Linked DNA regions of Rhinolophus ferrumequinum. The protein of the gene in region 2 purifies or fractionates together with the protein of the main gene of each other region. This does not show direct contact. Links are inferred from orthologs where the notes say so. Each region holds a gene or a part of one and is shown on either strand. Other genes may lie near its edges. The genes, in order: RPA2 and ETAA1.

Evidence for each region.
Region 1: the proteins of ETAA1 (region 2) and RPA2 purify together in Homo sapiens (affinity purification with western blotting; 4 studies listed by BioGRID, with this or other methods). This does not show direct contact. The link is inferred for Rhinolophus ferrumequinum from reciprocal best matches to the Homo sapiens genes ETAA1 and RPA2.

The regions. Positions count from the first base shown.
Region 1 is NC_046292.1:19,143,379-19,159,914, forward strand, and holds the start of RPA2 (replication protein A 32 kDa subunit), read right to left. Parts: upstream 7,728-16,536; 5' UTR 7,521-7,727; coding exon 7,502-7,520; intron 7,237-7,501; coding exon 7,127-7,236; intron 2,080-7,126; coding exon 1,978-2,079; intron 1,716-1,977; coding exon 1,602-1,715; intron 1-1,601. UniProt on the Homo sapiens protein: As part of the heterotrimeric replication protein A complex (RPA/RP-A), binds and stabilizes single-stranded DNA intermediates that form during DNA replication or upon DNA stress.
Region 2 is NC_046296.1:22,963,326-22,979,862, forward strand, and holds the start of ETAA1 (ewing's tumor-associated antigen 1), read right to left. Parts: upstream 6,540-16,537; 5' UTR 6,437-6,539; coding exon 6,214-6,436; intron 5,041-6,213; coding exon 4,912-5,040; intron 4,649-4,911; coding exon 4,572-4,648; intron 1,050-4,571; coding exon 940-1,049; intron 686-939; coding exon 1-685. UniProt on the Homo sapiens protein: Replication stress response protein that accumulates at DNA damage sites and promotes replication fork progression and integrity.

The DNA.
Region 1 (16,536 bases), on a different chromosome or scaffold from region 2:
CATCTCATCCTTTATATACAAGACTGTAAGCATTCATCTAATGTTTAGTGGATAAGCAGAGAGAAATGTCTGAAAGGGTATTTACCAAAATGTGTTATAACAGTTGTCATCTCTGGGATGTGGGATTTCAGATGATTTTGAAATGTTTTATATTATAGTAAGCACGGTACATTTTTTATGAGCATGCAGTATTAGGCATCTTTAGTATCTACCTCCCCACTGAATGGCAGGGACTGTGTCTTTTTCATTCTTTGTATACCTGGAACCAAGCAATTTGGTTCAGAATCTTATTCCAACAGTGACTACTGAATAAATTATCCTGTATTTTTCTGAGAAACAAAAATTAAAGAACACATAACCATAGATGACTTGTGGTTTCTGAAGTGAAAATAGCATACCAAGTGCTTATTATCCAAATTTTCTATCATGTATTTTATTTCTTTCTACAATGTATTTTAAACATAAAAAACTCAAGAGGGCTTCTGCCCAATTAAAAAATAAAAAGTACAAAGAGAATTTATTTTCTTTCAGTCTATTTTCTCCATATACATGCTACTTTACAAAAAATGGGGTCATACTCATACTATGCATACTATTGTGTGACATACTCTCTTCCTCTCAACAATTTATGGCCAACACTTCTTTGTGACAACATATACATTTCTATATCATTTATTCTATAAATATACCATGGTTTAATTAGTAACACCCTATTGCCAGCATTTTGAATTTAGGTTTATTTTCATTATAAACAATGCTATGATCAACATTCTCACAACTGAATTATTGCACATGTATTTAGTTCCTTAATGTAAATCTCTAGCAGTGGCGTGCGAGGTCAACATTTTTATGATAGATGATTTTGATCATCAGCTGGTTTCTGAGAAAGGTCAAACCAATTTATACTTATACCATCAGAGTAGGATAATATCTACTTCCCCAAATAGAGACATATCATTCAAAAAATTAAATGTGTACTAAGTGCTAGAAGCACTGTGTTAACTACAGCTCTTATGCTAAGTGGCCACTGCCATTCTATTTTTTTCTTTGCTAATTTAGTAAGTTAAAAATGGTATCTTAATTTTATTAAACCTGCTTTTGTTATTGTTGCTGCAATTTAGAGTTCATCTATTATGAATTATCTGTGCATCTTATTTGCCCATGCTTCTAAGGTGCAGTTGCTTTTTGAGTTTTCCGTTGTTTTATAAGAGCTTTTCACTAATTAAAAATTTTAAATGTTTGTAATATGCTGCAAAAAATTTTCCCCTTTATTTAAATATTTACTCAGGGCCCACTATGTAACTGGAACTGTTCTAGGTGCTGGGAATACAGTGCCAACATAAAAATCCTTGTTCTGAGTTCACATTCTAGTGCTTCCTGTCACTTTTAACTTTGTTTATAGTATTTTGGTAAGTTTAGGTTTTAAACTTCTATGAAATCAAATGTATTAACGTTTCATTTCAAGGTTATTGCTTTTGCTGTCTTGCTTATGTATTATTTTTATAAAGACTTTTAAAAAGGAAGACTAAAAAAGTCCACCATCTCTGAAGTCCCAAAGTAACCCCACCCTAATTCAAAATTCAAAATCCCACACAGCTTACATCTGTGTCAACCCACTGTCTAACATCCATGGGTGCAGCTGTCATGTCATCTATTTTGTAAACAATGTTGGTTGGAGCCTTCTCTGCATGTCTGATTATCCCCACAATAGTGACCTAGATCAGAAGAAAAAAAAAGTTTGGTTTTCTTCTATACCAAAGCAACATTTATGTTTGTTTATTTATTTAAGTTGCAGGTGTACAAAACAATGTAATAGTTAGACATTGACACCCCTCACAAAGTGATAGCCCCTCTCCCCCAGTCTACTACCCCTCTGACATTGAATATAGCTGTAACATTTATGTATTTTTAAATGAAGTAATTTTTATTTCATCCTTCGTATGATTAAGTGACTCTTCCACAAATTATTTTACATACCTGTGAAATCTCAACATTCCCAATTCTGAACACTTCATCAATCAGAGTGGCAGAAAGAAGCTGAGATATGGTACAGGGTACAATGTGATGGGCTCGGGATCTCTGAAAGAGTATGCATAAATTCAATTAAGAAAATAGTAACTACCATTCATTTAACACGTGCTACGTGCAACATTGGATCTGCAAAACAAGCCTCATTACCCTTGCTTCAGCGATGGAAACCAAGGTCATATAGCTAACAAATGCCACACTTTAGAATTCAAACCCAGGTTTGTTTGACTCCAAAGCTCCTGATGAATGGGTAAGTTTGTGGGTTTTTTTTCAATTCTTTTTTTTTTAAAGATTTTACTGGGGAAGGGGAACAGGACTTTATTGGGGAACAGTGTGTACTTCCAGGACTTTTTTCCAAGTCACGTTGTTGTCCTTTCAATCTTAGTTGTGGAGGGTGCGTTCAGCTTCAAGTTGTTGTCCTTTCAGACTTAGTTGTGGGGGGCGCAGTTCAGCTCCAGGTCCAGTTGCCGTTGCTAGTTGCAGGGTGCGCGGCCCACCATCACTTGTGGGAGTCGAACCGGCAACCTTGTGGTTGAGAGGACTCACTCCAACCGAGCCATCTGGGAGCTCAGCGGCAGCTCAGCTCAAGGTGCCGTGTTCAATCTTAGTTGCAGGGGGCGGAGCCCACCATCCCTTGCGGGACATGAGGAATCGAACCGGCAACCTTGTGGTTGAGAGCCCACTGGCCCATGTGGGAATTGAACCAGCAGCCTTCGGAGTTAGGAGCACGGAGCTCCAACCGCCTGAGCCACCGGGCCAGCCCCAAGTTTGTGTTGTAACAGAGATTCACCAAAACGAGTAGACTGGAGTGGGGACAGCATAAGGAATGGCCTGCTTCCTGAACAGCTCTTTAAGAGGAAACTTCAGCTTTAGGATGAAGGCAAACTGAAACTGGCTATTTGTCACTGATGAGATGAGCTGGTATTTGAATGGCCAGTGGAGACAGAACGATGGAGTTATTCTAAATCTCATTAAAAAATGTAACAAAAAGTTAGAGGTATAACTTCCTTTAGGACGGATGTTCTGACAATTGGCTGGAAGTCCTAGGGAAAATGGGATAAGGGCTTGGCCACACTAGACATCTTTTTTTTTTTTTAACTAAAATTTATTGGGGTAACAATGGTTAGTAAAATTACACAGGTTTCAAGTGTACAATTCCGTAATATATCACCGATATAGCACATTGTGTGTTCACCACCCAGAGTCAGTTCTCCTTCCATCACCATGTATTTGACCCCCTTTACCCTCTTCTATTATACTATCCCCCCTACCCCCTTGAAACCACTGAACTATTGTCTGTGTCTATGAGTTTTCTTTATTTGTCTTGTTCCTTTGTTGCTTTCAGTTTTATATCCCACATAGCAGTGAAGTCATATGGTTCTCGACTTTTTCTGTCTCACTTATTTCACTTAGCATAATATTCTCAACACACTAGACATCTTAAAAGGAAGGGACAGAATATGATGGACAGAAGAATGTCTGGTGAGGACACTCAAATCCCAGCCTGCAGCAGTCAAACAACAGCGTAAACTCTTCTTTTTGCCTATAACTGGCTAGGGGTTGTCTGGGCAACATAAAGATGAGTACAGTTTGCCCGTAACACACTCCTAAACTAGGGGAGGTAAAAATATAAATAACAAACTTGATATTGATACATTATAGAATGAAAAGCGCTACCTGGGCTATCAAGAGATATTTATTGGTGATTTTAAGAAGAGGGAGCATTTAGACTAGACCTTGAGGCAGAAACAATTTGACAGTGAAAAAAGTGGCCGAGGAATGAGCATTACAGACTGAAGGTAAATATGCACTCCCACAGACTAATAGAGAAACTATATACAAGACAGGAAAAGCATGGTCAGTTAAAGATTAGAGTTCTTGTCAGAAATCAATGGGAAGTAACCCAATAATTGTTCTATCTACTACAAGACCGCACATAGTAGGCTCTTGGCCTTCATAGAATTAGCAGTTGCAGCTTTGCCCTGAAGGCCCATGACACTAGCAACATTTCACCTTGCTGAAGCATAATTTTGAATAGTGAGTATTTGTAGGATGGTAGAAAACAAGCCCAGCCAACCACCAGAACACATGCCACAACAGGCGGCAGCCAAGCTTGAGGGTTAAGATTATGGCTCTACCACACAGGAGCAGTGTGCTTTTGGTTACGTTTCTCAACTCATCTGTACCTCGGTTTCATCTATAAAACTAGGAATGATAAAATCACTATGAAAAATGAAATGTATGGTGCAGTACCTGGAATACTACCTGGTACATCACATACACTCAATAAATGTTAGCAATTATTATGTCAGCTATTGTTCCTCACTCTTTATATCTGCAATAGCTTTTAATAAGGATGTGAAGGAATCGACTATATTTTTCAATTTAACTTTATGGTACTTTATAGGTGAAGTTATATGCTATATTAGTATTTATAGATTTAAAATTTGCTAAAGTCCCAGATTTAGCTCTCAGAATCTATATTTTGTTTTCATCTATCACAACTGAGATTTTTATTGTATCTTCAGCATAAGAAAGCTAAGAACCATGATGGTAACAGCAGCAAGACATGGGCTTTGGAGCCAGACAGTACTATAGACCTGTGTTCAAATCCCAGCTTCACGGCCCAGGACATACCATCACCTACCTCCTCTGTAAAATGAGGATATCTACCTTTCAAGTTATAAATGAAACATATACATAAAAGTGCTAATACCAATCTCTACACAGGTGCAAAAAATATTATTACTCCTCAGGTAAAAAAGTTACATATGGGTAATTATTGAGGTGTCAGTAATACCTTCAAATTCATCTCAAGTTACAGTTATTTGTTTTTTTTTAAATGAGCACCTATTATGTGCCAGGAACCGATTGAAAAGAGCTCCTGGTTTGTTCCAAAGAGATTCGGCACAAGTTACATTTAATTTTTAAAAAATTATTTTGTAGCTGCCTATGAACTACTACTGTGAAGTACTGTACTCTGAAGTACTGTAGGAACCTACCATTTTTACAGGTAAAACATCAGAAACTTCAGAATTCAATCAAATATAACAGGTTTATAGTCAGTAGGAAACATTTAAATAGGACATTTATCTTTTACTGTGCAAAAAGCACTAGATTTTAAACACAGAAAGACCTGAGTTTGAGTCTCCAGCTTATAACTGTCATCATTCTCTGAAAAGCTGTCTTAGTACATAGCCCAAGCTAGGGGTCCTGAGATAAAAATTCTAACAAATGGAATGAAGAAAAATAGTGAAGCTTAGGGAAAAAAGATGAGAATTATCTATCTTCTGTTCTCATCTTCACAGCCTCAAAGAAGACTATAGTCTCCTCTGGTCTTCCCAGGAAAAAGAAAGCTACAACAGAGAAGCAGCTGCTTACCAGATTTTGGATTTGCTCAGCGCCCTGTGGGCACTGTCTGGTTCCAGTTACTTACTATGTAAGCTTAGGGAATCTCAATCTCCCTGAGCCTCTCTGTTGTACAATGGAGGAAACAATACCTTATTGGGTTATATGAAATAATTTATATGAAAAGTATAAAGCAATATCCAAATGTATGAGAATTATCAGTGGATTCTTTCCCAACTATACCTACCCCTGAATTAACAGTTTATGTAAAAGCTTATCAACCTGTACACAAAACACAGAACCTGCTAATACTGAATCTTAACACATCAGAATGACACCTAAAGAGAAGCCAAATTAATCCTGTATTTAAAGAATGAAATCAACAGTTGTTAATTGCAAACTCTTTTCTGAAAGAGTAAATAGGACCGTCCTGGTGGCTCAGGTGGTTGGAGTGCCCTGCTCCAAACACCAAGATCACCAGTTTAATTCCTACATGGGCCAGTGAGCTGCGCCCTCTACAGCTAAGATTGTGAACAACAGCTCTCCCTGGAGACAGCTCTCCCTGCAGCTGGGCTGCTGTGAGCAGCCAGAGGTGGGTGTAAGCTGCTGTGAGCTACTGTGTGCTGCCATGAGCAGCCAGTGGCCAGCATGAGTGACCAGCAGCCAGAGTGAGTGACTGGTGGCCAACGAGAGCTGCTGTGAGTGGCTCAGCCCGGGGAGCGCCAGGCTCATAATACCAGCATGGGCCAGGGAGCTGTGTCCTTCACAACTAGAACTAGAAAACTACGGCTTGAACCGGAGTGTGTGCGTGTGGGGAGGCGGAAGAAAGGGGGGGGGAGAGTAAATAACAAGCATTTGGACAGCTTTTTACAGAATACTTTCTTATACATTAGCTTATTTATCAATTCTCAGAACCACCCTGTGACATAAGTAATACTAGTACCATTATCAGATGAAAAAAACCCAAGGACCAACAAAACCAAGGGTTCATGTTGCTACACTAAACTCACATTGCCAGTTAAAAGGCAAAGGTGATTCCTGACATTATGTATTCTGGCTCCAATGCTCAGGTTCACCTCTGGCTCTGGCACCTCCCCCAACTCTGACCCCCCCCAGCTTTCTTTGCTAAATTGTTGCGATTCTCATCCTCCACCCCAGGCATCATTACTATTCCACATCTTGGTCACAAATAGTACCTAGGACCATTTATTGAAAGGGACTTGGGGCAAGCACTTTATATATAATATTAAGTCTCGCAACAACCTTGTAAAGCATGTATTATCAATCCCATGTAGTAGGTGCAAAACTGACTTCCAAGAAAGTTAAGAAATTTGTCCAATGATACCCTGCAAGTAGTGGTAGAGAGCATAGATCTATATATGACTTGACTTCAAAGACCATGCTCTTTCCACCACATTAAATCACCTCACTACGTTTAATTAAAAAACGACTTTGGAAAACATAGAACATAAATTAGGCTATTAATACAAGTTCAGTTTTTCTACAAAACTGATTCATTAGCTATCTTGGTAAAATTTCAAAATAAAGCCAAGGAAACAATAGCGGATGCAACATTAGGGGAGATTCCTATTTCAAACTTACAGCATTTAATTATAAGACTCGATAAGATAGTAATAGATAATTATCGGATCAGCTCAGGTTTAATACCCTTCCTTCGCCGCAGAAATGTTCTCCCATGGATGAGTTATGAGCTTTAGGACAGATAAAATAAAATACTCTTTCAACTTACTGATTTCTTTTCTGCCTGAGAAGGTGTCGGCGATCCAAAGCCCCCAGCGGACTGTGTGTAGCCGCCGGCTCCCCCAAAGGTAGAGCTGCCATAGCTTTCATATCCACCTGGTTTTAAATAACAGTAGTATTAGTATCTGGGCTGCTTTCCAAGCTCCTGAAAAACCCACGGGTCCCCTGAGACCTCAATCCCCGCACCCCAAACAGTCCCAGCATCTTCCTAATCTTCCCGACCACCTTTCCCAGGCCCCCAAACGGCCCCACCTCTGGCTCCAGCACCTCCCCCAACTCTCCTCCCTCCCGCCGCCACATGCCTCTCCGACCCCCCAGCCCTCTTTGCTAAATTGTTGCGATTCTCATCCTCCGCCCCACTCATCATTACTATTCCACATCATGGTCACAATTTCTTCGAAAAAGGCCCAGAAAGCTCAGGTCGGCTGGCTTCGCCGGACGCCTCAGAATCTTACTGCGGCCCCAGCGCTGTATCTACTTTTCGCTGGCGCCACAGACACCTTCCCGCGAATGACGGAGCCAATCAGTGTCCAGAAGTCTTCTTGCTTCAGCCAATCAAAGCTCGCTAATATTACGCTTTTTCCGTTCTTCGCTGGCCATGTTACTGAATACAGGCACTACGCTCCCAGTAGGGCCAGAAGCCTTCACGGCCATGTTGACTAAGGGCAAAACACTTCGCGCAAGCGGAAGCAAGGATCCTTGGATGCTGATGAGGCAGTATCTCAAAAAAACAACCAATCCAACAATACTTCCTCATCTCAGGACCATATAATCCCACCCCCATCAATAAGCGGCATCTTACGTCACTTTATTCGGGGGTTTCCCGCCAAATTTTCAAGACGCCTTGGTCTAAAACGTCATAGTACAATTCCTGGTTCGATGTCTCCGCCTGGCGGTCGCCCGGGATTTGCGCACACGGGTAATTCACAGTACTACGTAGTTTCGCAGCACCTCGTGGGATTGCTTATTCTTTAACGTAAAGAGTCAAGTTCTCTTCTTGTATTGCCACCCCGTGGCCCTGATTCTTCCCAGTGAAGGTATAAGAAATCTACATTCTTTTCCCCACGATGGCCTTTCAAAAACTGAGGACTGGGTTCATCCCACCTGTCCTGACTCTAATCTAGCTCCGCATCCTGGGTTGCTTCAACTATTCTTCATATAATGCGGTTGTGCTCCTCCTATGGAGAGTAGAACATGTCTGTTAGTTCCTTGCTGTAAATACTAATAGGGTGTTAGACATACTCTTCTCATTTATTTAAAATTATTTGATGTCTCTTTTGTTCTAAGCTCTGTACTGGCCAATGGTTAAGGTAGACCGGGTCCCTGGGCTTCTGGACTGTTTTATTTTTTATTTATTAAAACTTCAGTCACTGTCTTAAGCATTTTATATTTATTAATTCAGTCCTGTGAAGTAGGTTAGTGTATTGTCCCCATTTTACAGTTAAGGAAACTGAGGTATAGAAAGTCTAAGTTTTGGGAGCCTGCATTCAAGCCCAGGAAGTCTGATTTTGTCAACCAGTGTCGTTATTATACCTTTTTGAACATCCTAAACAAACTCAGATGACAACTGGGGTCAGGCAGGAAAACTGCTAATGTAGTGGGTTGGATAATAGACGACAATTTAAAAAACTTTTTTTTCTCCACAGTAAGAAAAATAACCACACAAGCATAATGGTAAATAGCAACTGACATAAAGACTATGGATCTAGTGTTGCCAGATCATCTATTTGTTTTAGCAGATGTCAGAAATTTGAATTTTTGTGTAAAATTTTCTGTGTTTTTAAACAAATAAGTGTTTTTAAACAAATCAACTATTAAAAAAACATTATGTAGGCCAAAGAAAAGATATCTGTGGGCCAGATGTTACTTTGTAAATTCTGTAAGCCTCCAAATCATTGCTGAGGAATAAAACCTGAGGTATACCAAAAAGACATTCTTATATTAAGCCTAAGGTGATTGAAACTTACATACTCTGACAAGTAAGGGCATATTTATGATATATAGGATAAAATGTTTGAAATTAAGATTATTCTGGGACATTCAAGATGTGTATTCACTTGAGTCAATTGGCCTTATTTGGGGTTTAACCAGTTATAACTTCAACTTCAACTGTGAAGACCATACATTTAAAAATAAAATGAAATTAAAATGTCTTAAAGTATAACAGAATACAAACCATCAAAGAGTTTTGCACATCTTTTCAAGAGCTTGAAAAACTGATAAATTGAGGGCTCAGTTCTCAATCAGTGCTAAAATAAAAATAAAATAAAAATTAAATATAAATATATAATAAATTATATATTATATTATATATAATATATAATTTTTATATAATAAAAATATAAAAATAAAATAAAAATAAAATAAAAAACTCGTGTGTGTGTTTGTGTGTGTGTGTGTTAGTGAATTCATCTCTCAAGGTTTAGTTTTGTCAAGTTGCAAGCTTCCTGTCACATAGCAATTTCCAAGAAGTCTTCCATTTCCCTCTTTAGGTAGGCTACAATCAGGGAAATCCACAGCAAGACTGAGAAATGGAGAAATCATCCTTTAAAAACAATCTGGTGGGGCGGACGGGTGGCTCAGTTGGTTAGAGCATGAGCTCTGGGCAATGGGGCTGCCGGTTCGATTCCCACAGGGGCCAGCAAGCTGTGCCCTTCGCAACTAGAATGAAGTCAATGAGCTGCCGCTCCGCTCCCAGGTGGCCAGATAGCTCGGTTGGGGTGCAGGCTCTCAATCACAAGGTTGCCAGTTCGACTCCCACAAGGGATGGTGGGCTGCGCCCCCCTGCAACTAACAACAGCAACTGGATGCAGCTGAACTGGGCCCTCCACAACTAAGATTGAAAGGACAACAAATTGACTTGGAAAAGTCCTGGAAGTACACACTGTTCCCCAATAAAGTCCTGTTAAAAACAAAAAGAAAACCAAAAAACCAATCTGGTGACACACACCCATTAGGATGGCCATAATTACATAGAAATAGAAAACACCAGGTTGTCTCTTGCTCGGAGGCCACCTCTGCTCTGCTTTTGGAGTAGATCTTTATTGAATAAAGATACTTTTGCTTTTTAAAAAAATAGATAACAGCAAATATTGGTGAGGATGTGGAGAAATTGGAACCCTGTGCACTGTTAGAATGTAAAATGGTGCAGCGACTATGGAAAACAGTATGGCAATTCCTCAAACAATAGAAATAGAATCACCATATGATCCAGCAGCATATATCCCAAAGATGGAAACAGGGACTCAAAATAGATGCTTGTATACCCACGTTCATGGCAGCTTTATTCAAAATAGACGCTTATACACCCATGTTCATGGCAGAATTAGACAAAAGGTGGAAGCAACCCAAGTATCCATTGACACATGAATGGATAAACAAAATGTGGGATGGACATACAATGGAATTATTCAGCCTTAAAAAAGAAGGAAATTCTAATACATGCTACAATATAGATAAACCTTGAAGATATGCAAATGAAATAAGCCAGTCATAAGAGGACAAATATTATATGATTCCATTTATATGAGGTACCTTAAAATAGTCAAATTTAGGGCCGGCCCGGTGGCTCAGGCGGTTAGAGCTCCATGCTCCTAACTCGGAAGGCTGCCGGTTCGATACCCACATGGGCCAGTGGGCTCTCAACCACAAGGTTGCCAGTTTGATTCCTCGACTCCCTCAAGGGATGGTGGGCAGCGCCCCCTGCAACTAAGATTGAACACGGCACCTTGAGCTGAGCTGCCGCTGAGCTCCTGGATGGCTCAGTTGGTTGGAGCGCATCCTCTCAACCACAAGGTTGCGGGTTCAACTCCTGCAAGGGATGGTGGGCTGTGCCCCCTGCAACTAGCAGCGGCAACTGGACCTGGAGCTGAGCTGCGTCCTCCACAACTAAGACTGAAAGGACAACAACTTGAAGCTGAATGGCACCCTCCACAACTAAGATTGAAAGGACAACAACTTGACTTGGAAAACAGGCCTGGAAGTATACACTGTTCCCCAATAAAGTCCTGTTCCCCTTCCCCAATAAAAATCTTAAAAAAAAAAAAAAGTCAAGTTTACAGGGACAGAAAGTAGAACAGCGTAGAACAACGGTTGCCAGATGCTGGAGAGAGGGAAGAATAGGGAGTTATTGTTTAATGGACACAGAGTTTCTGTTTGGGAAGGACCGTTCTGGAGACAGATAGTGGTCATGGTTGCCCAACAACATGAATGTAGCTAATGCCATTGAACTGTACACTTAAAAATGGTTAAAACGGTAAAATATTATTTGTATTTTAACACAATGAAAAAAATTTTTTAACCACTTTGGTGTTTACTTAATACATGCCAGAATGCATTATCTCTTCTAAAAGCTTAATATACATTATCTCCCAAAGTTTTTGACTGCCATTTTAACCTCCAAGGTCAATTTGCCTCCACTTTATAAACACACACATTTTAATCAGAACTGTCCCAACATTGATGAAATTTCATTTATATTGGATTCCCTATTCAATTTTTTTGTACAGTGAGAGTTAGCCATTTCTAATTTTTCCCATTTTAAATTTTGCTGAAATCATCTTTATGTAGATCAATCTTTTCCTGGGCAAACTATACAATGAGGGTTTAATTCATCACCCAAATTTTATCCATACTAATTTTTACTGATTTTTCACATCTGCCACTGTAGTTTTATGGATCCTCATTATTTCTATCAAGTACAATTTGATTCAGGGGATTTTTTTGCAGTTTTCAGTGTTATATGTAAAATGTGGTTTTCCAAATTGTTTTTTGTCTAAGAATTTTACTGGGTGGAGTAGCAATTTTCAGCTTTATATTGTACTGATTTTATTTTTCTAGTAATAATTATGAATTGGTTAATACTGATAGAATTATTTTAGTATCAGAGAGGCTTTATATGTGGCAGAACACCCACAATTATTTGTTTAATGCTCATTTTATTAAACTTATAGCTAATAAAACTTGAAATCAATCTTTTTGGTATTTAAAAATTGTTTACAAACTTTATTAAATATCCTTAAAATTTTAAACTGCAGTTAAAGTTTTAGTATGGCCAATTCTTATGAATACTTCAAATATCTTAAAGAACAGACAAAACACAAAAATTATAGTTTTTTTTTAAGTCATTAGCTAATGACTTTTAAGATTCAGGGCCCCTCACTTTCCCAGCGTCTTCCAAGGCCCCTTCTTTTGTCTAGATACATATTTATTTTTATACTTTACTTTGCATTCTTTTTCTTAAATAGGGCCACACAAATTGTATAAGCTTCAGGCTCCACAAAATCTGGAGCCTTCTGTCCCTGCCTCCATGGATCATGGCTTTATTTATGTTGTTATCGTCCCAGGGGTTCTGTGATATTATTTTTATTCCTTTCTGGGTTTTCAAAAATCTAATCAGACTGAAAAGAAAAAGGAATGTCATCTTAGTTCACTTGACGTCATTGGATCTGGGTCTTCAATCCATTGATTTTTGGTCAGGACTCAAGACTCGATTGTGTGGTCCAAGGGGACTGTCACCAAGCCACAGATTACCAAGCTGAGCTTCCCTTTGTAATGTTTGTAAGACTTTTTAAGTCACACATTTCTCATAGGTTTTAATTTTTTGCAACCTAATGTCTTTCCTCAAAGTCATGGGCTTTCGGTATCACTTGTCAGCATTATATAACCTGTTGTCCTGTTGGATATATTGATGGGAACTTTTGCAAGTTCGAAAATACGTTATTTTGTTATATTCATAGGGTTACCTGAAGGTTTCACTTCCTACAAGAGGAGGAATAGAATCTGTGGAGTTAACAGGACTCTAGGATGGTTGGCTAATTAGTTCTTGGAGCTCCCTGTTCTCCTTACCTCCCACTTGGTTACTGTGTGTGAACAGCCCAGCCCATCAGCCCTTCTTTTTCTACCCACAGTTCCCCTGGGCCAGCACTATTTGACTTCTCACAGGTCTATGAGTTGCTTCCTTACCCAGGTGGGAACAAGTATGAATGTATACTTTGTAAAAAGACATCTAATCAATCAAAGAAGCAAAGCACCTGTATGTGTTAACATTACTTATTAAAACAAAAAAAAGTTAAACATGTCTTATAAAGTCACCATTCTTGTGTGTTTCAACTACCTTTCTGTGCTTTTTCTATTTGGATTGTCATCATTAACTCATGGCCTTTCACAGATTCTACTTGTTCCAGTAACTATAACAATGACAACAATAAAATAATTATCATGCTATTATTGATGCTGCAGTTGTCACATCTTGGCCAGTGAGAGGTTGGTTCCTTTGTCCTATCAGCACTGTGGATGTTTTTTAAAGCCTTCTGGCTTCCTGGTAACCTGAGGACGTTCGACTCCCATCAGCTTAATTTTTTTTCTTTTCCCAAGACTTGAATTCAGCGCCCCTCCTTCGGAGAACGATACACGTGAGCCTCTGAGAGTTGTCCGTGGGCAGGGCCCTGCTGCTCTTCGAGCTTTCTTAGTAGTCACTCAGCAAGGAAAACATTTATTTTTTAAGGTTAGGAGTTTGTATTTATTTTTCCAATTTAACACAGCATGTTGCTATACCTTACATTTGTTACACTGACAGGTAAATTGTGGATAGTGTTTTGAATACCTTGGAGCAAAGGGCATTCGATTGGTAAAGACATAGATAGGATCTGGGCATGCCTCCAGGTCAAGAGGGCAGGATCGAAAAGTCCTGCTTTATTCACTTCATCTTCACAACAACCAAATGAGGTAAGCACTATTGTCATCCCATTTTCCAGATGAGGAAACTGAGCTTCCCAACCTTCTCCAATTCATAAGCACATGTAGAAAATAATGCTTGTATGGCACACTGGATTAAGCACATGAGGCTGACAGGAGCCAAAGGTGCAGGGTGAGCACTGGAATCAGGACTTTCCCAGTTTTAAAATTGAAAGTCCTTTGTCCTGGGAACCCCTCCAATCCCAGTGAAACCAAGGTTCGTCACCTTTCAGAGGGGTCAGATTGGGGTCTCTGGCTGCCTAAGCCCAGCCTGCCTGACTGAGTTATGGATGAATATTTCCTTGCTCCTGTAACCTTTCAGTGATGCACCAGTGTGCTTGGCCAGTATGGGTGAGACTGAGTAATGAGTCTGAGGTCACAGAGCTGGTAAAGAGAGGACCCCGACTGAAGCCAGCTCGATGTGACTCCCGAGTCCAGCTCTTAACTATGATGCGTTGTCCTTCCTTCCCTGTGTCTTTTTTTGCCCATCTCCTCACCCGTGTCAGCACATCTTTACTCCCAAATACTCAGTACTTTGGTGCTGTTGTCCCATCAAGCTAACAGAGGGAGTAATAAGGGCTTATATATACTCACTTTTCTCAAAAATATTTACAATTATAAAGAGGTCCCCAGGAAGAGGAAAGGTGCCTGGGAGGACAGATGGTAAGAGAGATACCCCACAAAGAGGTGACACTGCCCAATCTGGATATCATGCTAAGAACTCTGGACTTTTCCCCACGACGATGGGGAGCCACTGAAGGTTTGGGAGCAGGCGAGTTACGTGATCACTTCCAGAGGGAGGGAGTGTGCACAGGCCAGAGACTGCCCAGGACTGGAGACGGTGATCTATCAGGACGCTGGAGGAACAATCAAGGTTGCGATGATGTGGGCCTGGACCAAGGCAGAGGGAGTGGGAAAGAGAGGGACAAAGAAAACAGAAGTCAAAGGAAAGCGAAAGGTTGAAGATGTCTTTGTTAATTTTTTATTCATCCTGTCAGTTTTGTTTACTCCACCTACATTTGTTTAACAAATATATTTAGTGCCTATTAATTGCCAAGAGCTACACTAACTCTGAACTGACTCTAGTTTTGAATCTAGGTGACAAAGAGAAATAGGAGTTCCTGAATTCAAAAGCAGAAGCAGACTTCTTCAGTTCATATATGGCCATGCTGAGTTTTCATTGTGGCCAGCTTCAGATTTTCTCTCTGGGATCTTTAAGGATCAACCATTAAAAACAGTCCAGCTTAGAGAAGACACAGAATATGTGGTATAATTTGAGCCTTCTCAGATTTCATCACTAGATATTCATTCTTTTGGAGCAGTCACTGCTGCTGCAAATGGAAAATTCAAGTAATTATTCTAAGATCTTTTCACTCCCTTGCTCCAAAGCTTTCAGTGGTTCCCCATGAGCAATAGGAAAAAGTTCAAGGTCCTTAGAATTGCTTCCAAACTGGCACTAGCACAGTCATAATTTTACATTTATCTGTATGAATCTTACTAAAGCCTATTTCTCTCACTAAACTCTATTTTTGTTCACCATTGTATTGCCAGCACCTGGCACAGTAACTGGCTCACAGAGGTCGCTTCATAAATATTTGTTAAATGAATGTGTGAATGAACGAAAGCAAAACATCAATGTGTCTTCGCCTTAGAGTGACTGGACTAGATGTCGACATTCATGGATTCTGTTGTGGCCCCATTCATGACCTTCTTGGACTAAGCCCTCTGTGGACTTGAACCCCAGGCCAACCATAGCTGCAACCTGGCTTCCCAGACGCTCTGAGGCCAGGAATGGACAAAGGTCACGAGCACTTGAGGGCTGTCCCCACACTGCCCTGTGCTTTGCTACCAGGGGGTTTGTTTCATATGCACTGCTCAGGTGACAGGACTGAAAGAGCTACAGCAAAATCATGAAGAATGCTGGCCTCTTACAGCTTTTATACAAAGTGCTTTTCTCTAAGAGTGTGGGGATTGTCCGGAGATTATAATTGCCACGAGTCGAAGAAATGCTGTGGGCAATTTGAAGAGGGACTGTTTTGTACTTAAGGAGCCAAAGTCCCAACCATTCAGATTTCTCTGCCTCACCTCTTCCAGTAAACCCAGCACAGATGGGTCCAGAAGGTCAGGCTGGGCCCAGGAAGAAGCCACTGTCATTTAGGTAGTAAGCTCCTGGCAGAGGGCTGAGTGGGGGCTGAAATCCGCCCCCAACTCCACTCTGAGCCCCAGATGTGTATCTGGGATGGAGGCACCTTTTTCTAATTCACACAAAGGCCTAGAGGCGTGCCTTTTTCTACTTGCACAGACATAACTTACGTGTTAGTGGTGGTGATGGTGATGGTGATGGTGATGAGGGCCTTCTGGGGACACTGACCAAAACGCTGAGGTATTTAAAAGAAGCTGCCACATCCAGCCAAAAGCAGAGTGGGACTCTAGCACCCCTCGATGGGTATACAAGGAACATCTAAACCCCTTCAGAACTTGCCCCCTTGTTCCAATTTCTAGTCTAGTTGATGTAGGTGATGTTGGATCTGCCAGCAGTTTCTGAGTGCGGGCCAGGATCGTGTCTCGTGAAGCCGAAGAATGGAAACACGGACCAGGGAGAGGCAAAAAGTTTTAAAAAAGAAGATACTTTATTAGAAGCAGGAGAAGAGGTTGCAGCTCCAG
Region 2 (16,537 bases):
TGTTTTAGGAACAGGGAGAGGTTCAGACATTTCTACATTTTGCATAACAAAAGGTTCATTACTTAGTAAGTTTTCCCAATCATCCTCAAAATCACCAGTAGTAAATGCATCTATGTGCTTATTAAAAGCTTCTGGCTCCTTGGTACAGGAAGTCACATATGATTTTGTCATTCCAGAATTATCAACTTGACGAGAAAGTGATGCTGGAGGTTTATTTGGCAGTTTTTCAGTGTCCAGAGTTTCATTAGTAATGATTTTCTCCTCTTTCAAAGCACTTCTCTTTCCAAAGGTAGTATTAATCGTGTTACAAAAAGCATCTGACAGATCTTGGCTTAACTGTCCGCTACATTTCTGAGTAGAACCATCAAAAATGGCATTAAGGGCTACTTCAACATTTTGGTCAAATGACTTCTGACTGCTATTTTGATCATTTACCACAGATACCATGGTGTTTTCTTTCATTGACTTCTTCATTATAACATTATCTACTTCGGGAACTACGTCAAGTAATAACTGCATCTGCACATTATCTTTATAATTATTTAAAGTCTCTGCTTCTGAAATCATGTAGATAAAATCATGATTTCTCTTGTTTTGCTCTTGAGTCACATCTAGCTCTTCCATATTTTTATCAAATTGCTTAGCCAATTTCATAAGTTCTTCCTCTCGAGTTTGTGTTTTAAACCTATTAAACAAATATTTAAAAAATTATAACCAAGAAAAAGTCTAAGAGTCATTGTAACATTCAATTGTTATTTAACACATGATAACACTTGAAAATTTTAAAACCTACGTTATAATGATTTTAAGTTCAAAATGTTACTTGTCAAAACTAAGGAAAAAAAATTTCCTTTTGATATATTCAGCACACCAAAGCAGCATATTACTAAAAATATTTACTTCACTGAATATCTGAAAAGCTAAAAAGCTTGAACTTACTTTGTGCAGCTTTTTGCTCTTGATTTTCCCTTTGCTACAGTAGGAGTACAAGGAATAGCAGTTGCACCAATCCATACACCCAGCATGGAGTCTGTTGTTGGTTTTTCAACCTTGGCAGAAGGTGGAAAAAAGAGGTACAAAAGTAAAGTACAAAAATAAGAAAAAGAAAAAAGAAAAAGAATAAAAAAACCTTGAACTACACTGAATTATTTTCTAAAGTAATCAATTCTGGTAAGGTGATAGCTACTAATCAATCTCCAAAACAATAAGAAGCTAGAAGATGGTAATAACAAGTTGCAAGAAGTGATGCATTTATGTTTCAGGAAATGAAAACATTCAGAATTGGGAATTCCTTATTTTCAAAAAAATGTAGTTTTAGTAATTTGATTATTTAACAAATGCATATTTAATAAAAAGCACGTTTTTATCAAAAGAAAACTGATCAACTTATAAGATATTCATAAAAATAAATATTAATATTAGAAACAAACCGTATAGCAGAAAACAACAGAATTAACAATAAAGAGAGATACATATGGAATTCTTTCTATATCACCTGTCTTCAAATTTTTGCTATCCCCATTATAATCTTTATCTCCAAAAGTTGGACAATCCATACTGACCTGAATTAAAAAGGCTTACACAGAATTACGGTAAGGACTGAGTTAGAGATGAGTACAAGGTTAGAATTGGTGCGAAGAATAAGGTAGGGGAAAAGCTGTTTCAGTCCTATATATTTTTGTTATGTCTTTCAGTCACTTGATCGCACAAAATATTGAAGAATGAATTTATGCATTAGTTACAAAGCAAACCAACACATCAAATAGGTTAACCATTTTCTAATGTATTTTTATAGTACCTAGAATAAACATAATTATCACACAAGGTACAAATAATCTTATCACTAGATTATAAATTACTTGAAGGCAAGGACTATTCTTATGATAGTTCAGCATCTAGCAAAATGATGAAAAAAAGATGTCAGTTCATGTTTATTTACTAGAGTCCTTAATTGATCAACAAGCAGTTTTCTTAGATGTCCAGTTGAACCTAGATTTTAGCTTTGCAAAATACTAAAAAAAAAAAAATAATAATTTCACTTTCACTATATATTTTCCATTTTTATTTCAACAACAACCTTGAAGTTGGGGAAAATGACACTCTTAAAGATGATTTAATTATGGATTCTTTTATCCATTTACCAAGTAATTTTAAATTTATTCGATTTTTAGAGAATAAAAGTATGACAACTTTATATATCCACTTTTATATAGATATGGGTCTTTTGTATGTTTTTTATACTATTTGTGTTATATTTTAAAAATTTCTTCATTGATAATAACACAATGCAATCCAGATGCTTTATAAGGTACCTAAATATATTACTTCATTTAATCCTAAGAGTACACTGTGTAGTTATATAAAAATGATGGAAAAAATATATGAGGTCTGACAGTTAAGTTCGCGAACTTGTTGCAATGATGTTGCTAACCTTTTTTGATTATCAGAGGTATTAATCATTTTAAACTTGTGCCAACTGGACAAACAGTTAACCAAGTTTACTATTTGGAAGTACTGAAAAGGCTGCATGAAAAAGTTAGACAACCTGAACTTTTTGCCAACAATTCATGGCTCTTGCATCACGACAATGCACCAGCTCACATGGCACTGTCTGTGAGGGAGTTTTTAGCCAGTAAACAAATAACTGTATTGGAACACATTCTCTACTCACCTGATCTGGCCCCCAATGACTTCTTTCTTTACCCGACGATAAAGGAAATATTGAAAGGAAGACATTTTGATGCCATTCAGAACATCAACGGTAATATGACGACAGCTCTGATGGCCATTCTAGGAAAAGAGTTCCAAAACTGCTTTCAGGGGTGGACTAGGCACTGGGGTTGGTGCATCGCTTCCCAACGGGAGTACTTCGAAGGTGACCATAGTGATATTCAGCAATGAGCTATGTAGTACTTTTTCTAGGATGAGTTCGCAAACTTAATTGTCACACCTTGTACACCATCTTCAAATAAACAACATTATATAAAAAGTATCCTTGAAGCAAGTAAAATGACTGTCCAATTAAAATGAAAGTGCATATTTTTTAAATGCCATGTCTGAAAATATCAAGTGACTTAAATAATTATTTGAGATAACATACCTAAAAATAAACATGATTATGTCATTCTGAGAACACTTTTTAAAAGCTTTTAAAAAGACCCCGATACTACCAAAGATTTATGTTTTAAAAGTGCTCAGCTAAAAAGGGTATCATTTAAAAGGAACTAATTTCACTGTATTTTTTTCTTATACACAAGTTACCACTTGCATACTGTTGCCATTTCTTCATGTGAGCTATTATTTCCAGCCCACTTAGGTAAAGAGTCCAATAATTCACTCAACTATCTTTTTATCACTATTTAGGCTGGCCAGCCCAAACACATTTTATTGTGCTTCTTTCATGTGAAACCCACAATTAATGAAGTCTATTGTTAACTCATGAAGTAAGCAGTATTATGGTATAAATGCTATTTAACTAATGAACCATATGTAAAATGAATTTGTATGACATGCCAAACATGGAATGTAGAGCTAGTAGGAACAGAGCTGTTTTGACTGTGCTAGTTGTAATTTCGGATATTTTATAGCTCCTAAGAAAAACCTTATTTCTTGTCTCCTCCACCTGGATTATGGTGATTCCTTGTAACCACAGTTTGGGACAGTGCCATCAACTGTTTACCATCAATATACAGATATAGTCACTGTCCATGGGCATGCCAAGGAAAAATACTCTACTTCCTACAGAAAAGACACTAAGTAAAAATTGGATGTTTTCTGAATTTAAACGTTGTTAAATATGGAAAAGAGAGAGGAAAGAGGTTCAGAACAAAGGTTGACTTGAACTTATTATTTCGATTTCACTTAAGCAGTACAAGAAATGAAATAAAGAAAAACTTTTGCAGATGGTTCTATTACAGCAAATAATTTAACTATCATAATTAACTTTAACATAACCTTACATTTATAGTGCTCTCTAGTTTACAAAGAATTTTTATCTAATTTAATCCTCATAATAATCCAATAAAGAGAGCAAGACAAGTAATTCTAGTTTATGGCTGAATGAACTGAAGTTCTGAAAGCTTAAGTGACTTGTTTAGGGTCATCTAGTACAGCTTTTACAATTTTTTCTTGATGATCTTGTAAGTCAATAGTATTCATAGCAGTTTCGATGGGGAAGAGGTATGCTATGAACAGTAAACAATGCAATCATAAAACTTAAAAGTTTAAATTTTTATTATCTGATTCTATTATTTTAGTAACTTGAAAAACCATGCCATATATTGTTAAACAATATTAAACACAAAACAAACACAAAGCTCTAATAAAAAATCATCACTCTAAAAAATTAAGTAAAATATTAGGCTGAGGGAAACATATATCATCAATTTTACATTGTTTCTTTTTTCAAAACATAAATCTCAGTAGTAGGAGAGGTAAACGTCATCCTTACCGCTCTATTTTCAGAAAAGAGAATTGTAAAAAACAAAACATTTTTCATGTAAAGAACTATACAAGGACTTAATGGCATATTTTTCAGTTTTAAAATCAATTATAAAACTAGTGATATTTACCTGAGGAGCAATTCGATTAACAATATGTGAGATCTCATCACTATCTGTGGTGTAAATCTGTTTTCTTCTTCCTTTACCTAAAGAAACAAAGACATTTCTATAAATTGTAAATAAAAAACTTGATTTTTAATAATAGCGGTCACTTCTTAGAAAACAATGAGCATGGCTAAGAGCACTATGCTCTCTGAGATCACCTGCCTATCACAGCAGGACAATCACATAAGATTCTCAAAAAGCATCCATTGTGAAAAATTCTGATGTTACCGACTGAAATTCTGTAAGTAAAATCCTAATCATTTATGAAACCGTTATCCAGATAAAAATGTAAGTAACAATTTACCTAACTGTTTTGTCATCGGAGAATTTTGATCCCAAAAGATATCAGTCTGTCCATCTGGATCATTAGGAGAACTGAAGGTAGATGACAATAAATCCATTTTCAGCACTCTCTTTGGTGTTTCATACCTTTCTACATGAGATTAAAATAACAATTGTTGCATTTTAAATTGTTGCACTTCATAATACCTCAATATTAAATAATAGCTTAGACACGATTACTTTTTATAGTTCAATTATAAACTTTTCTCCCAGAGATATTACTTCCACAACTGAAATGTTTCACATAACAATCCCTGTAATACTTCACAAATTTAACATTGTAAATAGCAAGTATTTTAAGATACTCTAGTAGCTCTATGAATGTATAATACTATATATACCCTAGTCACTCCATTCATTATCACTGGAACTTTGAGGCTTTGGAAACCACCTGTAATTTATACATTTCAAAAATCAAGAACATCTCAACAGAAACTTCAGTAAAAGTCTGTTCAGTCCGCTTTCACCAACTTTATCTGACACCAATTATTTCAAAAAAATTCAGTTATCCATTTCTTAGAAAGTTCTATCTAGTATCAGTTTTAAATTTGCAGAGATTTGTTTTTGTTTATTCCGGTGTTGCTTTGTGGAAGTGAAGTGAAGCCAAGTTAACAAAAGCCGTATTTTAAGAACACACTGTAGTAAAGAACTTTAGAATGAGTTTCAGTTCCCACTGGAATTTATTAAAAATCTTTTAAAAATGGAACACCAAAAATTGATCAGAATGAAATATTCCGGAACCCTCAGTTTCCTCCTTTGAGGGACCTTACACATGGGAACTTCTGGTTTATTCATAAAGAAGTGAGACATCACGGAGGCTTCGAGGATATAGCTATAGCTTTTCACAGGGTCCCTTCGCTGAAGCAAGTCAGGGCAAAATGGTTAAGCGGGAATAATCCCCCTAAGAATAAGCTGAAGACAACAGGTCTATCACATTATTTCTCCTCACTCTGCCTCTGCTGCTAACTGGAGGAGCAGCCTAGCAATCAGCCGTCCTCCCTTAAAACAGGTAAACCCCACACGGCCTATTCTTGTGGCAGGGGCGACAAGTGAGTGGTCAAACCTAACAGGGCAGTGCTCAAATTCGGGGACTAAAGCCGTGGGAAGTGTGTCAGGTTACTTTTGGACTCCGAGGGGAGAAGCCCAGAGAAAGAAAACATCCTTCAGACTCCACCCCCACTCCCACCCCAAATTTCCCAGCTGCAAGTTCGGCTGTGGGGCTACAGTGCCGAAGCCCAGAAAGGCCGCGCTGCCCACGTCTCACCCTCGGGGTTACTTTTACTGCACGAAGCGGCTGCTGGAGGCTGCTCTTGCTGCGGCATGGGCCCGGGAGACCCGTCTCTGACCCCGCGGAGCCCCGATCTGCGGGCCGACCTAAGCCGCCTCTTCCCTGGCTCCACCACCGAGGTGCATTCGTCAGCCGCCGCCGCTTTGGGCGGCGTGTTCATCAGACCAGGGCTGTCCCCATGTTTTCTTCGCCGATTCATTGCCTAGGACCCCCTCCACCAGCCGTTTCTCCTTTCACATTTTGCACGGGAGAAGTAGAGCAATGGAGTTAAAAGCGAGACCCTGCGTTAACGGCCGCCGCCATTTTTGCCGATGGCGCGCTGGTAAGAGGCGGCCGCTGATTGGCTGCGTCCGGGCGGGGGGCGGTGCGGTCGGCGTGCTTGGGGAGCGCGCTTCCGCAGCCTGCTTCCGACCTTGCTGGGCTCTGCTCAGATTGATCAGCATTGAAAAGGAGTGTAAGGATCACAGGTGTGTCCATAGTAACTGAGAGTGACAGCAGGAGAGGTGAAAAGAAGATTGAATCCATTGGCATCTTTTTATTGCATTTACAACTAGAATTACACATTATTCGTTCAGATTACTGTGGGTTTTAGTATGTTAAAGAAAAGGAAATAAAAGTATAAGTTAGGAAGGAAGCAAAAAATATTTTTTCATAGATGATATGTGCATAGAAAAATCCAAAAAATGTAGGACAAATTATTAAATTCATCAATTAACAGTAGCTGATGCAAAGTTAATATTCAAAGATCAATTGTGTTTCAATTGATTTATAACATATTGACTTCTTAAAGAAACACAATTTATAATAGCATACAAGATATCAAATAACTAGGTATAAATTTAACCAAAGATTGCAATACCCCTACAAAGACAATTATGAACTATTTTTGAAAGAAATTGAACACCTAAATAAAGGATAATAATAATATTCACAGGTTGCAAGACTCCATATTGTTACAATGTCAGTTCTTAAATTGATCTATAGATTCGGTGAAAATCCATGCAAAATTGCAGTAGGACTGTGTGTGTGTGTGTGTGTGTTATGACAAGTTTATTTTAAAATGTATATGGAAATGCAAAAGGCTTAAAATATCCAGGAAACTCTTGAAGGATAATGAACTTGGATATCTACCAGTTATCAAGACTTATAAAGTAATTAAGACAGTGTAACAATGGTGAAAGGATAGACAAATAGATGAAAGAAACAACAAAAAGCTTAGAATGGACCTTTAAGTAAATGGACACTTGATTTAAGATAAAGACAACCTTCCCGAGCCGTGGGAAAGGACTTTTTGATAATAAATAGGGCTTGGTCAATTTGATATTCACACAGAAACTTAACCAATACCTCATACCGTATCCCAAAATCAAGTGCCAATTGATTATATATTTAATTGTAAATGATAAAATAATTAACATTCTAGAAGTTGATGTAAATTGTCTTTATGACAGAATGAATTTTAAATTGACCAAAAAGGTCACCAACTATAAAGAAAATAATTATAAATTTGACTACATTAAATTGATAACTTGAGATCTTCTGTCTATCCAAAGACAACATTAAAGAAAATAAATGAAAAGCGAAGTACAGACTGGGAGAAGATATGTATAAGAGATAAAATTAAGGCCCTATATGTGAAATATATGAAGAATTGATATGTTATTAAGAAAATGATTGACCACCAATAAGAAGAATGGGTCAGATACTGTAGCAGGCTCTCCAAAAGAAAATCTAAATAATCAACAAACTTGTAGAAAGGTGCTCAACCACATTTGTAAAGAAAAGAATGAAAATTAAAACCACAATGTGATTTTAACCTCTGCAACCAGCAGAATGGCTAAAATTGACAAGATACAATACTGGTATCAAGGAAATAAACCAGACAAGACATGAGAGCACAGCCCCAGCCTTGACTGAAGCCTGTGGGAGATGGATAACCAGAGGACCCCACAATGGGAACTGTAACATACTGTTGGTGAGAGTATACCTTGGTACAGCCACTTTGGAAACCAGTTCTTGATCTAGCAATCCCACTCCTAGGACTATAAACAATGGAAAAATCTAGGTACGTGTGGATCAAGATACATTTTATAAAAATGCTTTAAGCAGTAAAATTCAAAATTACCCCAAACTGGAAGCAAACCAAAGCCTCTTCAACAGTATAGTGGGTAAATATATTGAGCTATGTTTGCTCAACAAAATGCTACATAGTAATGAAAACGCAAACTACAACTCTTTACAACAATGTGGCAAAATCTCATAAAGTTGAGCAAACAGGCCAGACTCCACCACTTCCTTCCCCAGAATACTATATAATTCCATTTATATAAATTTCAAGAGGCAAAATTAAACTATATTGTATAAAAATGTAAGCTTAAGTGATAAAATTATAAAGAACCATCCAGGAGTGGTTACCATAAAAGTCAGGATAATGATTACTTTGTGGAGGAGAGAATGGACCATCATTAAAAGGAGAGGGAGGGATGTGTTGGTTTTGTTCATTGTCTTGTTTTAGTTTTGGATTTGTGATAATTCATTGAGCTGAACATGTTGTTTTGTGTACTTTTCTGTATATATGTTATATTTATCAATAAAAATGTTTTAAAATTTTAATGTAAGGCAAAATTTTTGTTTCCATGAGGAACTGACATATATTTCTTCTTTGTAATTTCCTGTTTTTATTCTTCAGTTTGGCTACCAGGAATCCTAGAACTAAACTTGAGGTTCAGTTCTAACAATTATGCCAACCATCGTGACCAAATAATGTCATCCTTTTTCCTCAGTCCTTGACTTTCTCCTATTTTCCTTGCCATGATTACTTTTACATATTTTTAAACCATTATTCTAGTTTTATATATTTATAACTAGATATGACTGCTTGGGAAATTACATCTCTGAAAATTCAAATTAACTACTTGAACTTCTAGTTGCCTAATTAATATAAATGGATAGGTATACTGTTATTTCTCTTGGGGATTTCTTCTACCTCTCAACTGACCAAGAATCCCAGAGGCAGGAAAAAAAAAAAACCTCGAATGTCCACTACAACGTTTTATTAAATAGATGGCATCATGGTGGTCTCAAAGACTTAACTTACTCTGAAAAATTCCCAACTTACACTTAGAAAGTAGTTAAAGAAGTTTGAAGAATTTCCTAATTCCTATAGGAGTAATAACCATGTGGTAATCCTTTAAATCATATTAATACTGCAAATGAAATAACAGTCAATAATTTCCCATAACTATCCAAATTCTGTAGTACCCAGGTAACCATTGTAAAAAGGAATAACTCGAGCCCAAAGAACAGACGTGTGTTTTTACTTTAGCCTATCCAGGATGGCTGTAATTGTAATCATTATGTGATAGGAAACTGTCATAAGTTTTAGCTTAAATATTGCTTAATTCAAACAATCTGTTACAGTTCTAATGTAATTCAAATTAAATGTACTTCCTGAGCATAACTCCTGAATAAGTACAGTACAAAAAAACTCATTGATAAAATGTTCTTAATAAACAAAAGATAAGCCTTATAGACATTTAAATGCAATATGATTAAAAATGCCAAAACTTAGCATTTCTAGGCATTTGAATAATATGTACATATACGCTTAAGTAAGGTTTAATACAATGAACTATTTTTAATAAACCAAAGTTAAACTCTTATTTCTTTTAAAAAGATTTTTATTAAAACTATAGTTAGCATACAATATTATATTAGTTTCAGGTGTACATAATAGTTATTCAACATTTATATACCTAAAGAAGTGATCACCATCATAAGTCCAGCAACCATCTGACACTGTACTATGCTATCACAATATTATTGACTGTATTTCCCACGCTGTACATTACAGCCCCATGACTTAACTAGTTGTATACCCGGAAATTTAGACAACATATTGCCCATCACCTTTGCCCCCTTTTTAAATTTTTCAGTTACAGTTGACTGAAATATTTTATATTAATTTCAGGTGTACAGCTTATGGTTAGACATTTATATAATTTAAGAAGTGATTCCTAGTGACTAGTTTAAGTACCCACCTGGCACCATACATAGTTATTACAATATTGACTATAATCCTTATGCTATACCCTACATCTCCATGACTACTTTGTAACAACCAATTTATGTTTCTTAATCCCTTCCCTTTTTTCACCCACCCTGTCAACTGCCCCCACCCCCCAGTCTGCCAACCATCAAAATGTTTTCTGTGTCTGAGTCTATTTCTGTTTCATTTATTAATTTTATTCTTCAGATTCTACATATAAGCAAAATCACATTGCATTTGTCTTTCTCTGACATTTCACTCAGCACAATACCCTCCAGGTCCATCCATGCCTCCATAGATGGCCAGAACCCATTCTCTTCCATGACCAAGCAATATTCCATTGTATATATGTACCACCTCCTCTTTATCCATTCTTCCATTGATGGATACCCAGGCTGCCTCCATATCTTGGCCATTGTAAATAATGCTGCAATGAACATATGGATGATGGTGATTCCTTCTAGTGCATTCTTCATTTCAGTTATTGTATTCTTCACTTCTGACTGGTTCTTTTTTATGGTTTCTATGTCCTTTTTAATGTGTGCTATCTCTTTGTTGAAGTTCTCACTAAGCTCCTTGAGCATCCTTATAACCAATGTTTTGAACTCTGTCTCTGGTAGGTAGCTTACCTCCATTTTCTTTAGTTCTTTTTCTGAAGTTTTCTCCCATTCTTTCATTTGGGATGGATTTCTTTGTTTCCTCATTTTGGCTGCCTCTCTTTGTTTCTATGTATTAGGTAGATCTACTGTGTGCCCCAGTCTTGGCCTGGTGGCCTTATGTAGTAGGTGTCCTGTCGGGCCCAGTGGCACAGTCTCCTTGTTCACCTGCACTAGGTGCTCTAGAAATGTCCCTTGTGGGTTGTGTGTGCCTTCCTGTTACTGTGTTTCCCTGAAAATAAGACCTAGCCAGACCATCAGCTCTAATGCGTCCTTTGGAGCAAAAACTAATATAAGACCCGGTCTTATATAAGTCTTATAGTAAAATAAGACCAGGTATTATATTACATTATATTGTATTATATTATAAATTATATAAAACCTGGTCTTATAGTAAAATAAGACCCAATCTTATATAAGACCCAGTCTTAATATTATAGTAAAATAAGACTGGGTCTTATATTAATTTTTGCTCCAAAAGATGCATTAGAGCTGATGGTCCGGCTAGGTCTTATTTTTGGGGAAACACAGTATAGTTGAACCTTGGTTGCTGTTGGCATGCCAGTGTTTGGTATTAACCTTCAAGCTGACTGGCTATAGGGTTTCGCCATGTCCACAGCTTATAGGCTGCTGTGCAGGGGGCTTAACTCGCTGAGTGATAATCGTCCTACCAGGCTCTGCCATCTGTTGGTACCATCCTTTTTATATGCTGCTTGTGGGGCTAATTGGGTGGTGCTCTGCTGTGGTTGAAGCCAACCTCCAAGTATGTTGTTTCTGGGGCCTCTTGGGAGGGGCTCCAGGGAAGGCCCAGGTCACCCAGTGCCTGTGACTACCTGGTAGGAGCTACAAAGTAATTGTCTGTTGTTCGCTGCCTGTGCTGTACCTGGAGTTATGTGGGAGAGGCCATGCTGCGAATCGAGGACAGCTGCCACCAGTACCAGGCCTGGGGTAGCTGTGCAAAAAGCCAGGACACTCCTAGGCCTGCTGTCCCCTGCAGGCTCTGGTAAGTTTCAATCACTGATAAAGCCTCATGATGTATGCAAATTGGGAGAGGCAGGATCTCAGTGAATTAGCAGCAGGGAGCAGCAGAGCTCATCAGGTCAATTAGATTCAGATTTGGCCTGTGGGGGCGGACTCAATACAGGAAAGATGGCTTCTGCCTGCCGACTGTATGAGAGGAGCGCCCCACTCAGGGAAAATGGGGACTGTCCTTCCAGTCCTTGCCCCAAAGTTACACAACTCAGTCTCTCCCCATGTCTCCGACGCCCCCAGAGTCACTGTCCCTCTGCCAGAGTCCAGGGTGAGTGCCTGCCCGGGCCCGTTAAGAGGATGTCTGGGTTTCCCCCTGTCTTTCATCCCATCCAGATGGTCAGAATCCCCACTGTTTTTCACAACCAGTTGTTGTGGGGGCTCTCCTTCCCTTTGTCAGTAATCTATTCTAGGGAGCCTGGTGTGGCAGTCTGGGGTCCCTCACTCCTTCATGGGGAACCTCTGTGGGATATCGCTTCCAATTTTGAACCGCCAAATGTAGGTGTGGGATCAACCCCATTTCACATCCCCTCCCCTCCTACTAGTCTTTAGGTGTCTTCTTCATAGTTATGATACTTCTGTTCAGCTAGACTTTAGATGGTTCTTCAGGCTGATTGGTTTATAATTTAGTTGTAATTTTGATGTGTTCATGGGATGAAGCAAGCACAGCGTTTATCTACTCTGCCATCTTGGATCTCCTCTAAACTCTCACTTTTTTAGTTGCAGAAATTATCCATAAACTTGACAGTGTTTATTAAACAAAAAATTGAGACATTGAGAGTTTGTTGTTAAGTAGCTTTTTTTGTGGGGTTATTGCCTTGTCACTTACATTACAATGATACTATTTGCTGGACTAATTGTGAGAAGTTTTTGTTTCATGAAAAAAAAAATAACAAAAATCATAATGTGTTATTATGTAGCACAGTTTGTGTATAGAGCCCTGCCCCAGCTCCAAGTCTATCAGGATACAAGTGGCAGTATCTGAACAGGCAACAAAATGAGTAGATCATTTTTTTACAATCTTGTTACTCTGTTTCTAAAATATACTCCAAAATGTACTTGGTTAAGTACTGGGCCCATTTTTCCTCTGTCCTGACCTACCAGCAATTGTAATTAAAATCACCTACCATGCCTATCCCTCTTCTGAGGGAACTTCATCAAGAGCCTCTGCTGCCTGACTGATTTTGGTCCTACCAGGTGACCCCAAGCAGATGAATCTGAATGGACTAGAGGTGGACAGCTGACTTTGGGTACCACTCTATAGGCTGGCTCTCTACTGCTGACTCACAAAAAGAGACATGGAGACAATCATTTCCTCTTGGAGATCTGAAGAATTTGCTAGAGGGCTGTGTGCAAAACCATGGGGGGCCAGAAATTACAAGAAAGACTGCTAATACTGGAATAGACAGAAGCAGCAGTGTTACACTGCCAGGGCCATTGGAATTAACATCTATAGATTCCACACACCTGGAAACTGAGCCAACCATTCAGCTCCATGCCCCTAAGGCCAGATTCTACTGTAATTTCAGTCATTTCCTTTTCTCTTTCAATGCAGACCCTTTGCAGTAAACTTCCTTTCCTTGAGTTAGCTAATGCAGGTTAGTCTGTATTCCTTATATCCACAAAAGCTGAACTAAAACAAAGCTTGGGATCAAGGATTATATATCTTTTTAATTAAATGTATTGGGGTGACAGTGGTTTTAGTAAAATTACATAGTTTTCAAGTGTGCATTTCTATAATACATCATCCATATATCACATTGTGTGCTCACCATTCAAATCAGTTCTCCTTCCATCACCATATATGATTTTAATCTAATTGTTTCTCAGTGTTTATTGGAAGGCACAAATTGGGAACAGAGAAATGTCAGCTGCAAAATGCTTTTATTTGAAATGCTGTTTGCAAAGCATGATGCCAAAGCCATTCTTAAGGACAAGATGATTATTGTAAATTTTGTCAAAATCACACTTACTTGTAAATGATTTGAGCAGATGTTGGTAGTAAGAAGGAAGAAAAGCAGGTTAACTCAGTTCTGAAGTGGAGCATGTGTTTTGGCACACTGTGCTTTCTGCAGGTACCACTCAGCAGTACCACTAATTTAATTCAACCCCTCTGATCATTTCGTGTATCAACCCCCATCAGGCCAGTATCTACCCAGGATTAATGGCTGTGGGGGTCATGGAAGTAATTTGCAAAGACATTTTTCTCTACTGCTTTAAATGAAACTTTGGGGGGAGACTCAGAGCAACCCCAAAATGTCTGATTCGGGGTGAATAACTTTCTTTTTCCTGGCTGTAATGGAATCTAGTCATCATCTATGTGTTTTTGCTTTTTTGAATACCAGGAAGACAGCCTGATTTTAAAGATCACCCTTGACTCTTCTTCAAGCAGCAGTATCTGTATCATTTACTTTGTCGCCACAATTTTAACTTCAAACACTGCTCCACTGTACCTGAGGCTATCACAAATTTCTTTATGTTGTAGTAAAAATAAAGTCTTAAAATTTTTACAGCTGTTAATTGTATTTAGGTTAGCTTAGCCAAATGCATGCTTAAGGATGCTTGCATTGTCCTAGATACAAATGGTTCTTTTGGTGAGTGGTTATTTATACAGAATACTCTGGCCAGAGCTGAAAATGGCTTTTGATTGTTTAGGGATGAAATTACAGCATTTAAAACATATTAAAGTTTTAAATAACATTTTAGATCAATTTGAATGTAAAAAATGAATAGGAGAGAAATTGCAAAATCTATATTATAAAACTAACTCTGCTCATATTAATTTAGTTCCTAGCATAAGAAAATTTTCCTTTCAACAAGGCTTTTCATGTCTTTCAGACTATTGGAAAAAAATGATTAGTGTATTTCATTTGAAGGTAAAGAACTCTTTTGGCTTTGGTCTAGTATCAATAATCTGGGTAACAGTGTTGGGGAAAACTGGGCCGTGGGGGTTGTCTTCTCATTGGCAAGAAATATATGAAAAACACAGGTATCTTTATTCTGCTGTTGAATTATTTTCCTAAGCCTGTTACCATGGCTTCTAAGTGCATCAATGGACAGCCCCTTTACTACTCGTCACATTTTGAAATCCTCCCTGTCCTCTGAGTCCTTGCTACTCAAAATGTTGTGTGTGGAGGAACAACCTGGGTATCGCCTGGGCGCTTGTCAGAAATGCAGAACCTGAAGCCTGTCCTAGATGTGCTGAATCGGAATCTGCACGGTTACAAGATCCCCAGGTCATTTGTGAGCCCAGGAACATTCCAGAGGCAATCCTCTGCAGGGACTTCCCCTAATAATTTTGGCTCACAATGATTAGTGTCTCTTTCTCTGAAACCCTACCTTACCTTCAGTCCATTCAATATACCCTAGACCTTGATTATGTAGTTCTGTGTCTCTCATCAATTAACATTGATCATACACACATCTCCTTTTCCTGACAATGTTGTGACCTTCTAGACCAGAGGTTGGCAAAATTCTGTAAAAGGCCACATGGTAAATATATTAGGCTTTGCAGGCCACAAACTGTCTCTGTTGCGTATTCTCTTTTGCGTTGTTTACTCTTTAAAAGTGTAAAAACCATTTAAGTAGAGAGCTGTATAACAACAGACCCCAGGCAGGCTACATTTGGTCCATGGGCAGTCGTTTGTCCACCCTGGCCCTAGACGGCAGGGCCCATGTTCTATGCTGGCTTCTTGGTGCAATGCTGTTATGGAGGTTTACAATCAATGCTTACTCTTCAGTGGTTTGTTAAAGTCGCTTTATATTCCCCTCTGCCTTATGTTCCAAAGCATTTTGAGGTAAGATTTAGGAAAAGCTATGAAAATTTATCCCAGTATTAATAAAAAGAATTATTTACATACTTCAGAAAGAAGCTATTAATAAGAATGGAAGATTTCAAATAACTTCACATATAGTTTTTCTTTTCTTACGGATGCCAAGACATAAAAGTAAAACCTGAGTCCCCACTTGGCAAGAGTATAATCATAATCCTTAATTTTTCATTAAGACCATATTCCTAAAGAAATGTTGGTATTTATTCCAACCCAAGATGAGTACATAAATAGCAAAAAGAACAAAGGTAATATGCCATAGTGGTAAGTTTAAGTTTTTTTTATTACAACATCTATTTTGTGACTTGACCATAGTATTATTCTTTAGTCTCTGATTGCTTGTTAGATTGCAGCTTAATATCATTATGAGCTATTCCTTATGCTTAAAGGTACATGTTCAGGATTAGTTCCCCAATTTGATTAATATTTAGAGAATTAAAACAGTGTAGCTAGAGAAGAACAAAAAAAAATCTAGCAAAAGCAGCAGCATAACACATATCTCTCTCTCTCTCTCTCTCTCTCTCTCTCTCTCTCTCTCTCTCTCTCTCTCCTCTCTCTCACACACACACACACACACACACACACACGCTGACCTTGTGTTACTGCCCCAGGCTATGTCAGGGAGAGAAATGTGTTTTCTGTTTAGGCTGATATTTTTGCGGATCTTTTTTTTTTGACCCTTATAAGAAAACCAGTCATAAGCTTATTTTAAGACCAGAAAAAATGTGGTTTTCCTG